Struthio camelus: one gene and its partner. The protein of the gene in region 2 purifies or fractionates together with the protein of the main gene of each other region. This does not show direct contact. Links are inferred from orthologs where the notes say so. Each region holds a gene or a part of one and is shown on either strand. Other genes may lie near its edges.

Region 1 (7,397 bases), on a different chromosome or scaffold from region 2:
GCTTGCTAAGTTCCATATTCCTAAGAACGGAAACCCTCCCTAGATAGGTAAAGCTGATTCATGGCTTGCATACAAGCAGATTACACAAGCCTAAAACAGGCTACATACAGAACAGCACGTTTCACAAAGTTAGAAGTAGCTTTAGCTGGATGTGATCAAGGTCTGCTTGCCTTGTCTTCATATGTCTGAGAAACTAATTAAATCTTACTCTTTTTGAAATTACTAAACATCCCCGGGCCTGTGAAGGAAAACTCTTGCGGAATCCGACTCCAGTGCATGTCCCTATTACAGAACCGCGCTGGTCACATAGTACAAGCAAATTGTATTCACCAGTTCACTCCGGCAGGTGAGGACAGCAGCCACAGTTTTCTCCCCAGTCGTTGCAAAGCTCACCAGAGCTGCCTGAAAAAAATTTAATAGGAAAGCATAAAGCCAACAAAAACAACAAAAAAACTACCTGCGCAGGAAAGTATGCCCTGATGAAGTTAACAACATTTGATCCCCTACAGCCAAATTTCAAATTTCATCGTCTCACCAAAGATGAAATTACACCTCTTAAAAGACCAAAAACAGTTCTGTCAAAGAAGTAAATGGTTGACCTGCACAAGCTTTTGAACCACAACCTCTAGTATTACTGAGCTTTTTAAAGCTTTTTCACCTTTCAAAACTTCTCAGCTGGCCTAACAAGAGTACTACTATGCCACTGGTCTCTTAGAAATGCATGTCTCTGTCCAGCTCAAACCTAGATTTCCCCCCACGCTAACAGTTGTTAGCCACAAAGCATGCCTAAACTGATGTCTGAAACTATTTTAACAGCTAATATAAATGAAATCAAATGGTTCTCAAATGTTGCAGCAGAAAGCACAATTGAAATGGGAAACTCGGCAGCTTGTTCACCATGCTTAATATAAGGGAAGGTTTCTGTTTGTTTCTAAAATCTTAAGCTGTCGTCAGCCCTCCCAGTTAAGAGTTCTGCAGCTGCATCTATCTTGGTTACCTGCTGGAAGTCCCGAAGGTGGCTGAGCAGCCCGTGCCTGTATTGCAGCAGGGAGAAGTGGCTCGGAGACAGCTGCAGGAAAAACTGGGTCCGCGAAGCACTGACGAGATTGGGTTGAGTGGCCAATATCCTGGGTTGGAAGCCATCAGCAAACTCCAGGTCAAGCGACTGAGAAAGGGAGATCAGCGTATGCGTTCAACAAAACTTTTTCTCTGGTGAACCCAGTACCTTCCTTTTATAGCCAGCAATGCATGCTTTATAAAGACGCTGCCCATATGAGGATAAACATGGAACAGAAGCAAGGAGGCCTGGACTAACACTGGAGCAAAGCTCTGGGGACAATCCATTGGGCATGCTTAGTTGGGCAATTAGTTACTTACGATGCTCTGTTAGCACTGCTCACCTGCAGTGGGATCTGCTTCATCTCCTGCTCCGTCTCCAAGGAGCAAACATAGAGCGAGTGCGCGTCCATGTCCACGCACACCAGCACTGCCTCCCCGACCACGCCGCACGCTCCATTTAAGCTCTTCAGCCACGGGGCTGCTATTCTGATCTGCTGAGCAAGAGACACGCGAAGTTGTCAACAGCAGAAAAAACTTTGAAGAACCAACACGGCTGTGACCAAGATATTTAAGTCAGAAGTATTTTTACCCATGACCCTGGGATAAACTGTCTATTAGCCTGAGGTTTCCAGGATAGTCTTGACTCTGCCAGATGCAAGTCTGACTAACTTTTGCTTTCGGGGCATTCAGCAGTGGAAATCTATTTCTTGACCCAAAGGTAATGCCACAGGGAAAGGAAAGTTTAGTCTCCGCTACAACAACAACAAATTACTCTGCACATCACACCACAGCCATCTAGTACCATCAAAGTCAAGCTGGCAACAAATCCAACGTTTTGAATCCATGCTCAAGGACTACCTGTTTTGTAATTTCTCCATCCTCTACGCTGAAGGTCAGAACATTCAAGTGGCTCTGAGGAACAATTCCAAGTACGTGGATCACTCCAGTCCCGCGGGAATACAATAGCTGGTACTGAGTACTCTCACTGCAAGAGAAGCAGCTGCTGTAAAGTAACGGTCTTCAATCGCCACTCAAAATCACACTTACATTACTCTATCATGGGTCTTGCGAGGAAAGACTGACTCAACTTCTAACTTGCTTGTTCCAGAAGAAACATTCTGCCTATCAACACAAACGCTTTATGGACATCTCACCTTCAGTCACTGCTTTCTGCAGTGAAAAACGTGAAGATGATAGAGACATAACAGGTGGGGAATTCCTCCACCCTTCTCTTACAGTCTCCCCAATATTCCTTTCTATACAATTAAACACAAAATAGTTTCTGGTTTCAGACAGGAGGACCTCTTTCATTTCTTTGGAAAGAGCACTCCATTGGCAATGCTCATAAAACACGTGAAGTCCTCTCTCTCTTAATTCTGTCTTACCCTTTCAGAAAGTAACTGCTAACTTTATTTGTCTTAGTACCAAACTAGTTTTCCTAAGTAAAAGAGAAGCACAGCATCCCCTCCTCCTCAAGAAATTGGGTTCCATGTCTGCAACCGAAGCTTCTGCTTACACTATTTTCTTACCTTTCTGGTAGATGCTCTACCCATTTCTGGTGCCCATTGGACAGGTAGTGAAGAGAGACAGCTGCCTTCTTCAGGACTGCCACATATTTCACTGTGTCCTGTAGCCCCACCAAACTAGCCATCTGGAAACTAAGCACAGGTCAGAGGCAGCAGCTTAGAAAATGATGTTTATGAAGAACTCACCCTGTTTAAAGACCTTCTTCAAACATTCAACAGCAAACTTAAACTATAATTTAAATATATAGTCCACTTTACCTATCCTTAGCGATTTGAACAGAGAGGAGAAGGCTGGAATGCAAACACCTCAAATCAAAGTGGTACCTTCCATGTTTAATATGTTGTACGCTGGGGGAGAAAACCTACCTATGAAAGGATTTGTATCTCTTCCTCCTACCTGGTTGCCAAGGGGTGGAAACAGCATTAGGCCTGACAGCAAGCTGCAGGGATTCCTATAGTATTCATCCATGTTTATTTTAGAAACGTCACACCTAACTAACGTTTCCCTAGAATACAACTTCTCCTTCCTACACCAGCACACTGCAAAGGGAAAGAGACAGTCCAAACACTCACCTGCCGGTGTCCAGTGAGGTCTCCCAGTTCAACCCACCAATGTTGGTCTCCCACGAGCGGAGAATGCGCCCACCATTGGACACAGTGATGGCATCTGCACAGAAAACGATCAGAAGGACATAAATACAGGACTTGTATCCACCACAAATCAGTGAGGCATTTAGCTTTGGCAAGCCTAACGGTTACTCCGACAACTCGTGGCTGGGATCCCACACGCAAGGACAGTTACTAACCCCAGCGTGCCATGTAACGTTCTTCTTACCCTGTCCGTGGATCAGCATCGCATCTATTGCTCCTTCGGGAGTTCCCTTATCTACATGGCGCCACACTGAAGGAACAAAGAGTTACGTAAGAAACAGATTCGCTCCCCCAAATGCTTTTATTTGTTATTAGGTTTAAACCTGAGTTTTCTGCAGCAAAAAGCTCCTGCAGCCCATGCATCTGTCTGTCCTAAGGGATAAGCTTTTGAGCTGCAAGCTGATAAAGCAGTCTGAGCAATATTAATTTATCAGTATGAAAATGAAGTGCTAGGCCCACTACAATCAGCAGATGCCCCAGGAGAAAAGCCTGTTGGGCCCTAAGGCCCCACTTCACTCACGGATTTCGCCGTTCCTGGAGTTCAGCGCAGCCACGACGTTCTTCTCGGTGGCCACAATGAGCTTCTTTGAGCCCTGCGAGGCCTCCAGGGAGGCGAACTTGAGCTTGCCCACATACTGCTGCCTCCTGGGGGAGGGAAGGAGGGGTGAGAAGGCATCGCAGGGAGCCTCACCCGGGGCAGCGGGCAGGGGAAGCCGCCACGGGGAGGCTAACAGCAGGACGGAGCACTGGGCAAGTACGGAGACGGGGAAAATCCCGGGAGAAAGGGACCCCTCTCTCCCCCCCGTACGCACACACCGGGAACGCGGCCTGCCGTACCGGACCGGCGCCGCAGACAGGGCAGGCCGGACCGCGCCGCCGGCCCCACGCAGCCGGCAAGCCCGGCCCCCTGGGCTCCCCCCCCGGCCTCGGCCCGCACCCACCAGTCGAACTTGCCCACTTGGTCCTCGTAAACGGCGGTCACCAACGGCGACAACTGCAGCAGCAGCAGCAGCACCGCCGCCGCCGCCATGACAGCGGCCCGCCGCGATCCCGGCGCGCCCCGCGGCGGCCGCAGGGGGCCTGGCGCCGCCGGGGCCGCCCGCGCCGCCGCCTGAGCGGAGAAGCGGCCGGCTCAGGCGCGGCGGCGGGCAGCCCGCGGGCGTTCCCAGCTGCCCCCGCGGCGCGGCGCGCAGGGGCGGAAGGGGGGGGGCCTGGCGGCGCGGCGCGGCGGCCATGCCGAAGTCCAAGCGGGACCGCAAGGGTGAGCGCCCCCCTCCTTCCCCCGCTCCTCGCCGCCGGCGCCTCCGCCGCCGCCTCTAACGCGCCCTCTCTGCTCCGCTCTCCGCAGTGTCCCTGACGCGGACGCCCAGGAAGGGGCTGGAGGCCAAGCAGGCCCTCATCGCCGAGGTGAGTGCGCGGCCGCGGCCTGCCCCCCCACGCGCCCCCCCCCCCGGCCGGGCCGGGCCGGGCCGGTCTCACGGCTCCCTCCCGCCTCGCAGCTGCGGCAATGCGTGGACACCTACAAGCACCTCTTCCTCTTCTCCGTGGCCAACATGCGCAACAACAAGCTGAAGGACGTGAGGAACGCGTGGAAGCACAGCAGGTGAGCGGGGCCCGGGCCCGGGCCGAGCGCGGCCCTCCGTCCGCCGCCGCCCGTGCTGAGGTGCTTCTCCGTTTGCCGCCTCAGGATTTTCTTCGGGAAAAACAAAGTGATGATGGTGGCGCTGGGACGGGAACCGGCCAGCGAGTACAAGGAGAACTTGCACAAGGTACGTGGCGGAAGGCTAAAGCGTTTCGGTGTCTGAATCATCTCGCCCGCACCGGCTGCGTCGCCAGCAGCTTGCCAAAACGGTCGCTTTTATCGTCGGGGGATAAACTTAAATCAAGACAGAGCTTTTTCAGAACACCTTTCTGTGTATGTTTTGTCCTTGACTTAGTGCATCAGTATGAAACAGTACCCAAGAAGAAGATGTCGGGGTTGATTATTAGTAGAATTGATTGCACAGACTTCTGTGTTATTGCGGACTTTCGTAGCTGCGCTGCACCAAACTCCAGAAAACGACGAGGGCCCGGATGCTGCCTGTAAGGTGTACTGTTGAATCCCATGGGTGGCTTATTTCTTCCAGGTCAGCAAACATCTGAGAGGTGAAGTCGGTCTCCTGTTCACGAATCGCACCAAAGATGAGGTGAACGAGTAAGTACGCGTGCGACCGGCAGCTGTGATACCAAAGTGCGGAAAAGGCCTTTTTTTTTTTTTCCTTCACTGGCTACTGGTGGTGGTGGCGGCAAACCTGCCGCTGCGCTTACCGCTGCTCTTAAAACCATCGTGTTCTCATGGGGTTTTTCCCCTTGTTTTGCTCTGGCATCGTAACGTTGAAGGCTACAGCAGGGAAAAAAAGCTGCGGTGGGCTACGCTGCGATTAAAAAGAGTGCAGAAGGGCAGTCCGTTTCACGTGGCTCTCATAACGCAAAAGCTGTGCGCACGAGAACAGGGAATGCTAACAGCTGAACTGAGCAGTAGGTGAGGATAGCTGGGGTGATTACGTATATGCACCTCCTGCCTGTAAGTGGAGCTGATGGGGCTCTTTGTTCGTGTTTCTTCTGTTTGAATTTAACTCATAATCTATAATTTTCTTGTGTACCTACCTACCCTCTGGAATTCCGTTACGGATTTCTGTTCGTCTGCTTTACATCTAAAGTTCTTTGGACGTTTGCAACAACGGAGGGTTCCGCAAAGCCCACAGTTAAATGCAGTCTTGCAATTTGCTGCCTGATGAAGAGATCAGCCAGGAACGATCTCAGTCTCAGGCCAAGGGATGTTCCTTACGCAGCTAATGCTCTTGTTACCTGTCCCTTATCTCAGCTGGTTCTCCCAGTTCAAAGAGGTGGACTTTGCCCGTGCGGGGAACAAGGCAACATACACAGTGAGCCTGGACACAGGGCCCTTGGAGCAGTTTCCCCACTCCATGGAGCCTCAGCTACGGCAGCTGGGGTTGCCAACGGCTCTAAAGAAAGGTAGGTGAACTTAATTCCCCTTCTGCCACTTAAATTTTACTTTACGAACTTTTGCTGCAAGTTGCTAAAGGTTGCTGCCATCTTAGTAAGGTCTGTGCAGACAAGGTCTTTTAAGGAGAAGGTTAAATAGTAAGGCAGGATTGAAGGACAGCGGTTGAGAAAGTCTTGGTCCTGGCTTTGCATCCATAATGGCTGAAGTGGGTATTTGGAAGTATTTGGAAGCCTATTTCAAGAACTGATGCTTGGTACTAACTCATACATCTGCCATGGTTATGCTCCTGTCTGTTCTAAACGCTGTCAGGTCAGAAGGTTGTCTTTTGGTTAAAGCTGGCTTGTCAGCTGCCACGGGCTTCATGTAGGATGGTGAACCAGGACTGGCAGGAAGTTCTGATGAATCCAACAGCCCCGAGCTGTTTTCCTCACGGGGTTCCCTCTCTCCGAGACCCAGCTCCTCTCCCTTTTGTTCCTGCAGGAGTGGTGACGCTACTTTCAGACTATGAAGTCTGCAAAGAAGGGGACGTTCTGACCCCTGAACAAGCTCGTGTCCTGGTGAGTAATGCTTTAACACGGCATCTAGTAGCAAACTAGTAGCTCCCCTGCATCTTTCCAGATACACAACTATTGTTAACCGTTGGGTTTAATTCTCCTGGAGGGTATGAGTTCTCAGACAAACGTGAACAGCGCTTCTCGATATGAATCAGTAGGACGCAGCTAGTGTTCTTGTGTGTTCTTAACGTGCATGCTGGAACTCTGCTTTGGCTCTAAGGCAATAGTACTGAAGACCGGGGTTTTAACACCCAGTCTGAAGAGCTGGTAATCCAAAATGCACTGGAGGCCAAGTTGGCCATTAAGCAGTTACTACTTCAATATTTCTTAAACGCTAACAATCAGCAACATGAGAAACCCTCTACTAACTCGTGCCTACTAGAGAAAGTGACTGTTCTGCACAATATTTCCTGACACTAACTTAGGTACTACCTGTAGGGGAAGCTTTTGACACCAGCTGTGAAAGCAGAACAGTATTTAATTGGAATAGACCTATATTCATCTCTGAACTCTAGCCCCAAGCGGCTGCATTCAGATGTTCTGTAGTTTTAAATCTAACACTTGCTTTGCTTCTTGCTTTGCTGCAGTCCCCACGTGGAA
Region 2 (7,076 bases):
TGGCTCATTAAGCATGTAAAAAAATTGGGGACAGGTAAACCACTTACAGTTTCACAGCCTGATTGTACATGATTACAGGTGACAAACTGGAAACAGGTTGAGTTATGATCCCTACTGTGAAAGGAGGTGGGTGAGCAGTAGTCAGGCAGTGTCAGGAAGTGAAAAGATGCTCCCGGTCAACTAGTGTGGTAATTGCAAGTGACTGAGCTCTCAGGAGAGGAGCCAGGAGTGAGTAGAGCACAAGGACAGCACGTGTTGAGGACATGGCCACAGAGACCCTGAAGACAAGGGGAATGATAAGAAAAGGGAAGAGGAGTATAGCATAATTTATGTTTTTTCACCCTGGAGCTGTAAACATTGTTTCTCCAAATGAGAAAAGCCGTAATGATAAGTAATTCAGTCATCTGTCATTGGACAAACTTTGCACATCAGAAATGCTAATGAGTCACCAGTTGCCTTTCCCAGCTGAAGGGAAGGTCCTCTTTACTTGTCATACCATGCTGCATCCTGATCTACTGGCTTCCAAGGGGATTGGCTTTGGCACATAAAGCCTTTTCATTTGAAAATTGTCATGGTGTGGCAGCTTTTACATGTGCAGTATCATGTTTCCCCTCCCTGGGGCACAGGAGAGGGGAGAAGTGGGTGTTTTATTACAACACAAGAAGTAAGATGGTGGGCTGCTAGCTCTTTATTCACCCAGAAGACTACTGCTCCATGCCTGCCTGCTCCCATGGTACGCTTAGGGCACCGCGCTGTCCCCAGCTGAGGATATTGCCCCCCCCCCCCCCGTCATTCCCAGGGCAGCAGTACTCCTCTTCCTGCTCCACAGTGCCCATCCCTGCCCCTGGCCAACTCTGTCTCCTTTCCTCTCACCCCCTCCACAGGTGGGAGAGAGGAGGCGCTGGACTGTGCTGGCATTCACAGCTAGGAGAGCTTTGCCTGCAGACAGGGCATTCTGGAGCTTTGTCAAAAGCAATGAAATATTCTAATTTAACAAGGCAGTAAAGTAATTGTATAATGGCACTCTGCTTCCTAACTGAGGTGCTGCATGCCATGTCCGAACTATACTTCCAGGGCCTTGGACCAAAAGCAGAGTCCTGTAACGCCCGCTCGGCGTCTAAAGCCAGCCTGGATGTTGTAGCTGTACACACGAGGGAACCCCTTTTGCAGCCCACAGGAGTCGAAGGCCTGAGAACAGGACAGGAGCTGAGTCTAGGAGAAGTGAATGAGAATTCAATGCTCAGATGCCATTAAAAACCCCAGCAGTCACGAAATTCACTTGTATAAAGCAAATATATTTGCATTCCTTCATGATTATGACTTTCTTTTCAGTTTCCTTCCCTACTAACAGCAACCAGTACAACTAACTTGGTATAAATGACTTTTAGTGCTGTTCAGAAGTTTGGAGCAGCTTTTCTAATCCTTCTCTAGCTTATAGCTACTAGAGGCAACCTCTACTTTGAGATGGAAGAATAGCACCCTCAAGAGTTGACAGCAGTGCTGCTTCAGGGATCCATAATATGCAACAGACATCCTTCCTCTTTTAGCTGAATTAACTCCCGGACACATTGAAGTGAAGCAACAAGACAGAAATTTTTTCTTGATGTTAGATCTGAAATATTTGGTATCCATCTCTGTTAATGTGAATGTGGAAATAGGCATTTGTCTGAGAGATTATCAGCTTGTAAACGTTTTAGTTGCCGTTGAGGGAGGGACAAAAAAAGAATAAGAATGCTCTTATTTGTCGGAGTCTGGGAGTCTCATTTTAGACCGTATTAAAACAATTTGAACAGGAATTTATGTTTTCGTGCAGAAAGAGATTATTTAAAAGTTCTTAACTTAGATAAAAGGGGTCTGTGTAAAAAAGACTGAGCAAACCAGTCCTTAAGTTGTGGGGACTTGTTCGTTAATTACAGTAATTAGGAATGGAATCTGATCCTGAACTTTCTGATTTACTTTGAATGTTTTTTAATGTGTGCCTAGGCCTTAATTTCAAAATGATTATAAAATGTGAGAGTGTTTTAAGGCTACAGAGGCGTAGGTATTGTTATTAAGTGACAAACAGTTATATACTTCTGCTGTATTGCACAGCACTGATCTTTTATATTAAACGTGCACGGCCCCCTCCTGTTTCTGCTGACTTCAGAGTTAGATAAGGCCTTCGGAGTAAAACCGAACCTCCAGCTGGTGTTCCAGAAGAGAGCGTGTCCCAGTAGGCAAAATGTCAAGGGCTGGATTTGTCCCTTTTCTATGAATGGGATTGCTTGAGTGGAACAAGCAGAATTCAGACAGTCAGATGCAGTTGGGAGATTTTACTGTAGACTCTGAAGCATCCAAAGCTTGTTTCTGTCACAGGCTTGAGGGTTCTCTTCTGTAGCATGACCTTGTTCAGAGTTATTACTGGTATTTTGATTGTGCTACAGCTCCAAATCGACCAGTGAAATACCCCTTTCAGGAACCGCTTAAGTGCTGAAACCAACACGTACAATTTTAGAAAATATTGACCATGTATAAAAAGAATTTATGCTTGATTTTTTTCTACTGCTATTGAAAAGTGAAAGGTATATTCTGTAGTCTGTAAATTTACATTTTTCCCTGCTGTAGGTACAGACTCGATTCTCCTGATAGGATACTAGAATGCAACAAGGCTATCTGAATCTACGGGCCCTGCTTTTTGCTCATGAAACAGGTTCATATGTGTGATATGCAGTACAAAAAAAGGGTTCATTGAACACTGTAGTTTTGTTTCCTGTTTAAGACTTTGTCCCATACTATTAATTGCAAGGAATGTTTCAAACCCTTTCTGAGCAAGCAATTTACTGTGTCACAAGTTTCTGGTTTACTAGGACATCCAGGACGAAGAATTACAACCCTTCCCCCACCCCCTCACCCCAGCCATCACTATGTTGGAATCGTTTCCTCTGCAGATCTTGCTCTGGCAAATTTAGGCTGCACCTGGTCCAGTGGCTTTGGCATGTCCTTTCTCTTGTGCCAGTTTCAAAGCGAGCTTCTGGACCAGCAGTAGCTGAATGCCTGGGTGGCTTCCTGAGGTGCACCTGGAAGACAAGCAAAGGGCCAGAGAGGGAAAACAAATAGATCGGTCCGCTCTGCAGACTGCCAGGGATAGCAACAAGAGGAAATTCTGTGCATCCTTACCCCTCCCGAGCTGAAGCGTGAAACTCGGACTCTTAGGAAGTCCGTGGAGCTGCTGCAGGAACATACTGCGCTACCCTAGGAGAGAGGTCACGGTAGCTGAGAGGTGCAGGTCGTGTCTGCAGTCGGCGGTGCGGGAACATTGCTTTGCCCCAAGCAGCCAGGAAGCGGAGGCTGGGAAGGCAAACAGTGTCTCCAAGGAGGCTAGGGCTGCAGGGCCGGGCGCACGGCAGGCCGCCTGGCTGCTGTGCCGCTGCACGGCGCGGGGAGCCGGGGCCCAGCTGCACCCGGCTTCGTCTCGGGTTCGCGCCGGCAGCCGGCCCGCGCCCGTCGCGGGTCTGCGGAAACCTGCAGTCACATTTACCTGCTGGGTTCGGGCGGGGGGCGCGGCGAGGGGGGAAGGCACCCACGCGTTCATCCCTCGCCGCGGGGCGCCGGGCCGGGCCCCCCCCCGCGGCGCGGCGGCAGCCCCGGCCGCCCGAGCGGCGCCCCGCAGGTGCCCGCGAAGGGCTCTTCCGCGGCCGAGGCGGGCGGCTCTCGGGCCAAAGCAAACGCGCCAGCAGGCGGGCAGCCGGCCGGCTGCGGAGCGGGCTGCCCGGGGCGCGGGGGCGCTCACCGCCGCCCGGCCGACCGCCCCGCCGGGGAAGCCGGGGCGCCGCGGGATGCGGCGCAGCCTGCCCCGAGCCCGCCCGGCAACAGGGCGCTCTGGGCAGGTAACGCCCGCCGGCGAAACCCCGCCGTCGGTGCCCTGGGCAAACACGGCCGGGCTCCTGCTCCAGACTGGCCAAATATTTGCCAGTAAGCGCGGGGGGTGGTGAACTTTGAGACTTTCTCCGCAGCTAAGCCGGGGATTTGCCGGCTCGGGGAGCGCGGCGCAGGGCTGGCAGCGGGCGGTGCAAACGTCCCGGCCGCCTTGGGCCGCGCCGCCCCGCCGAGCGGCGCCGGGGAGCGCGGGCGCGCAGCGGCCCGGCCAGCGCGGAGCGGCGGCGGCGGGGGCGGCGGGGGCCGCGGAGGGGCCGGGCGGCGCTGCCAGGGCGCTAAGACCCGGCTGCGCGGCGGTCAAAGGTTCCCAGCAGGAGGTTGGACACTAGAGGGCGATCCCCGGCCCTGCTGCGGGCGTGTATATATAGGGCACGCAGGACCGCGGCAACCCACTAGCAACGGGGCAGGCAGGCAGCGAGCGGGGCTCGGGCGGGCTGGGGCGGGGGACGGGCTCCGGGCGAGCGGAGCCGGGCCGGGCCGAGCCGAGCCGGGCCGGGCCGGGCCCGCCGCCGCCGTGCCGCTCGCCGCCGGGGGGCCGCGGGGCGCCGCGGGCTTGGCAGAGCCGCCGCCGCCGCCGCCCCGTCCGAAACCTGGATTGCAGGAGCCCTTCACCATGCCCGGCGCGCTGTAGGTGCTTCATGGAGCAAGCCAACTTCTACGAGGTGGACTCGCGGCCCCCGATGAGCAGCGGCCAGCACCACCAGCTCCAGACTCCCCTGCCCGGCAGCGCCTACAGCTACAGAGAGGCTCCCTCGGCGGCGGCACCTGCTGCGGGCGGCGCGGAGCTCGGCGACATCTGCGAGAACGAGAACTCCATCGACATCAGCGCCTACATCGACCCGGCCGCCTTCAACGACGAGTTCCTGGCCGACCTCTTCCAGCACAGCAAGCAGCAGGAGAAAACCAAGGCCATCCTGGCTGGGGATTTCGACTTCCACAGCATGCATGGGGCCGGCGCCGCCTCCTCGGCGCCGGGGCACCAGCCGCAGCACCACCAGCAGCCGCTCTTCGGCTGCGTGGCCGGCTACCTGGACGGCAAGCTGGACCCGCTCTACGAGCGCATCGCGGCGCCGGGCTTGCGGCCGCTGGTGATTAAGCAGGAGCCCCGCGAGGAGGAGGAGGTCAAGTCGGCGGCCCTGTCGGCCCTCTACCCCCACCACGCCGCGCAGCAGCACCCGTCGCACCTGCAGTACCAGATCGCGCACTGCGCGCAGACCACCATGCACCTCCAGCCCGGGCACCCCACGCCGCCCCCCACGCCCGTGCCCAGCCCGCACCACCCGCACCACCCGCACCCCCCGGGCGGCCTGCCCGCCGGCGCCCTCAAGATGCTGCCCGCCGACCACCGCAGCAAATCGAAAAAGACAGTGGACAAGAACAGCAACGAGTACCGGGTGCGCCGGGAGCGCAACAACATCGCGGTGCGCAAGAGCCGCGACAAGGCCAAGCAGCGCAACGTGGAGACGCAGCAGAAGGTGCTGGAGCTCACCACCGACAACGAGCGGCTGCGCAAGCGGGTGGAGCAGCTCACCCGCGAGCTGGAGACTCTGCGGGGCATCTTCCGGCAGCTGCCCGAGAGCTCCCTGGTCAAGGCCATGGGCAGCTGCGCCTAGCGCCCGCCGGCACGGACTCGGGGCGCGCCGCGCCCGCCGCTCACCCGCCCTTACCTATCTCTATGACTTACATCGGAGCGCAGCGACCTGAGATTGTTTCACGGGGGGTTGTGTTTTTTTTTTCTTCTTCTTCTTCTTCTTTTTTTTTTTTTTTGGTTTGGAACAATTAACGACCAATAAAAGAAGCCAGGCAGCTGTAGTAGTATTAAAAGGTTTGTGCCTTAGGGACGACACACGAATAAGCTGAAGAACATGGTGGGTTTTATAAGGAGAAAGGCGAAGGGAAGGGAGAAAAAAAACCCCACGTGTCTACACAGGGTAAAAATAATAATAATAAAGCACACAGAGCAACCCACGTTGTGCCTTAAAAGCTGGCTGCAGGAGCTCTGGGGCTTTCTGCTCCCCGCAGCCTGGCAGGGCCTGAGGGAGAAGGGCGAGGGACGTGCGGGCAGGCGGGGGTCCCGGCTGGGGCAGGCTGGGGCCTCCCCGCGCGGCCGGCCTGCAGGCGAGGGCGCGTTGCGGGGCGCCCAGCGAGAAGGGCTAACCAAGGCTGAGAGGAGCTGGGCGCCGTGGTTCGGAGCACCGAGGCGTGGGAGAGCTGCCGGACTGCTAGCCGGACTGTCCCCGCCAGGCTCTGCGCCTTTCGGGGAGCCCCCTGGGCGCCCAGGACTGCGAGGGAGCACGGTGACCTCCTTCCCCCGAAACGAGGAGCAGCAGCGTCTTGTACTGTATGTCACGGCATGGCGAAGCACAAATGAATAAATACCTATCGATGCGGGTATTTACTAGGAACTTTCAGTGTATTTTGCTTTATTCCAGGACATGGAGCTCCTCGGTCTGCCCAAGCTGTGCCTCATGTAATGTGAAAGCCTTTCCGTGTATACTAGCTACACTTTATTTTTATTGCATTACTTAGCTCTGTGCCATCACACGACTTCCTTATCTGGTGACAGAGACTATGCCCTTGTGCTGCAACGTTATTTTATGATGTGTGTGGGTGGGTGTGAGCGCGCGTGTGGCCTTCCCGGCGAGGGCCGGGGCGGCGGGCCGGGGGGACCGGGGGGCCGGGGCGGCGGGCCGGGGGGGCCGGCGGCGGGCCGGGGGGCCGGGGCGGCGGGCCGGGGCGGGGGGCCGGGGCGGGGGGCCGGGGCGGGGGGCCGGCGGCCGCCGCGCAGCAGGCCCCGCGCGGCGCCCGGCACCTTTGGACTCTGGAGCTTCCCCCGGGCGGGGAGAGAGAGAGGAAAATAAACGGCGGAGCGCGTCCCCCGGCAGCCGGCGAGGGCTTTCCTCCCGGGGCGGCCGCGGCCCGAGCCGGGTCGGAACAGGCGTCGGGGGAGAGGAGCGCAGGGCGCCCGGGGCGCGTGTGCGAAGCGTGCGTGGGGCGTGTGCGTGGGCTCGGGGTATGCCTATGTATATGTATATGCACACACATTGGTGGGGTGGGGTGTTTTTTTGTTTGTTTGTTTGTTTTGAATTCGTGGGGAGGGAGGGGGGGACACCCCGCATATAAAGTTTGTCCAAGTCCTGGTTACATTCATAAATAAACAG

What was found. Proteins that work in one complex are often made in the same cells at the same time.
Region 1: the proteins of CEBPA (region 2) and MRTO4 purify together in Homo sapiens (affinity purification with mass spectrometry; 3 studies listed by BioGRID and IntAct, with this or other methods). This does not show direct contact. The link is inferred for Struthio camelus from reciprocal best matches to the Homo sapiens genes CEBPA and MRTO4.

The regions. Positions count from the first base shown.
Region 1 is NC_090962.1:12,996,812-13,004,208, reverse strand, and holds the start of MRTO4 (mRNA turnover protein 4 homolog), read left to right. Parts: upstream 1-4,354; 5' UTR 4,355-4,469; coding exon 4,470-4,497; intron 4,498-4,584; coding exon 4,585-4,643; intron 4,644-4,735; coding exon 4,736-4,839; intron 4,840-4,923; coding exon 4,924-5,005; intron 5,006-5,362; coding exon 5,363-5,430; intron 5,431-6,099; coding exon 6,100-6,251; intron 6,252-6,723; coding exon 6,724-6,800; intron 6,801-7,397. Other genes in the region: EMC1 (ER membrane protein complex subunit 1), read right to left, coding at 331-402, 998-1,165, 1,401-1,553, 1,918-2,044, 2,589-2,717, 3,159-3,252, 3,421-3,486, 3,757-3,881 and 1 more. UniProt on the Homo sapiens protein: Component of the ribosome assembly machinery. Nuclear paralog of the ribosomal protein P0, it binds pre-60S subunits at an early stage of assembly in the nucleolus, and is replaced by P0 in cytoplasmic pre-60S subunits and mature 80S ribosomes.
Region 2 is NC_090951.1:12,257,252-12,264,327, forward strand, and holds CEBPA (CCAAT/enhancer-binding protein alpha), read left to right. Parts: upstream 1-4,421; 5' UTR 4,422-4,553; coding exon 4,554-5,528; 3' UTR 5,529-6,489; downstream 6,490-7,076. UniProt on the Homo sapiens protein: Transcription factor that coordinates proliferation arrest and the differentiation of myeloid progenitors, adipocytes, hepatocytes, and cells of the lung and the placenta.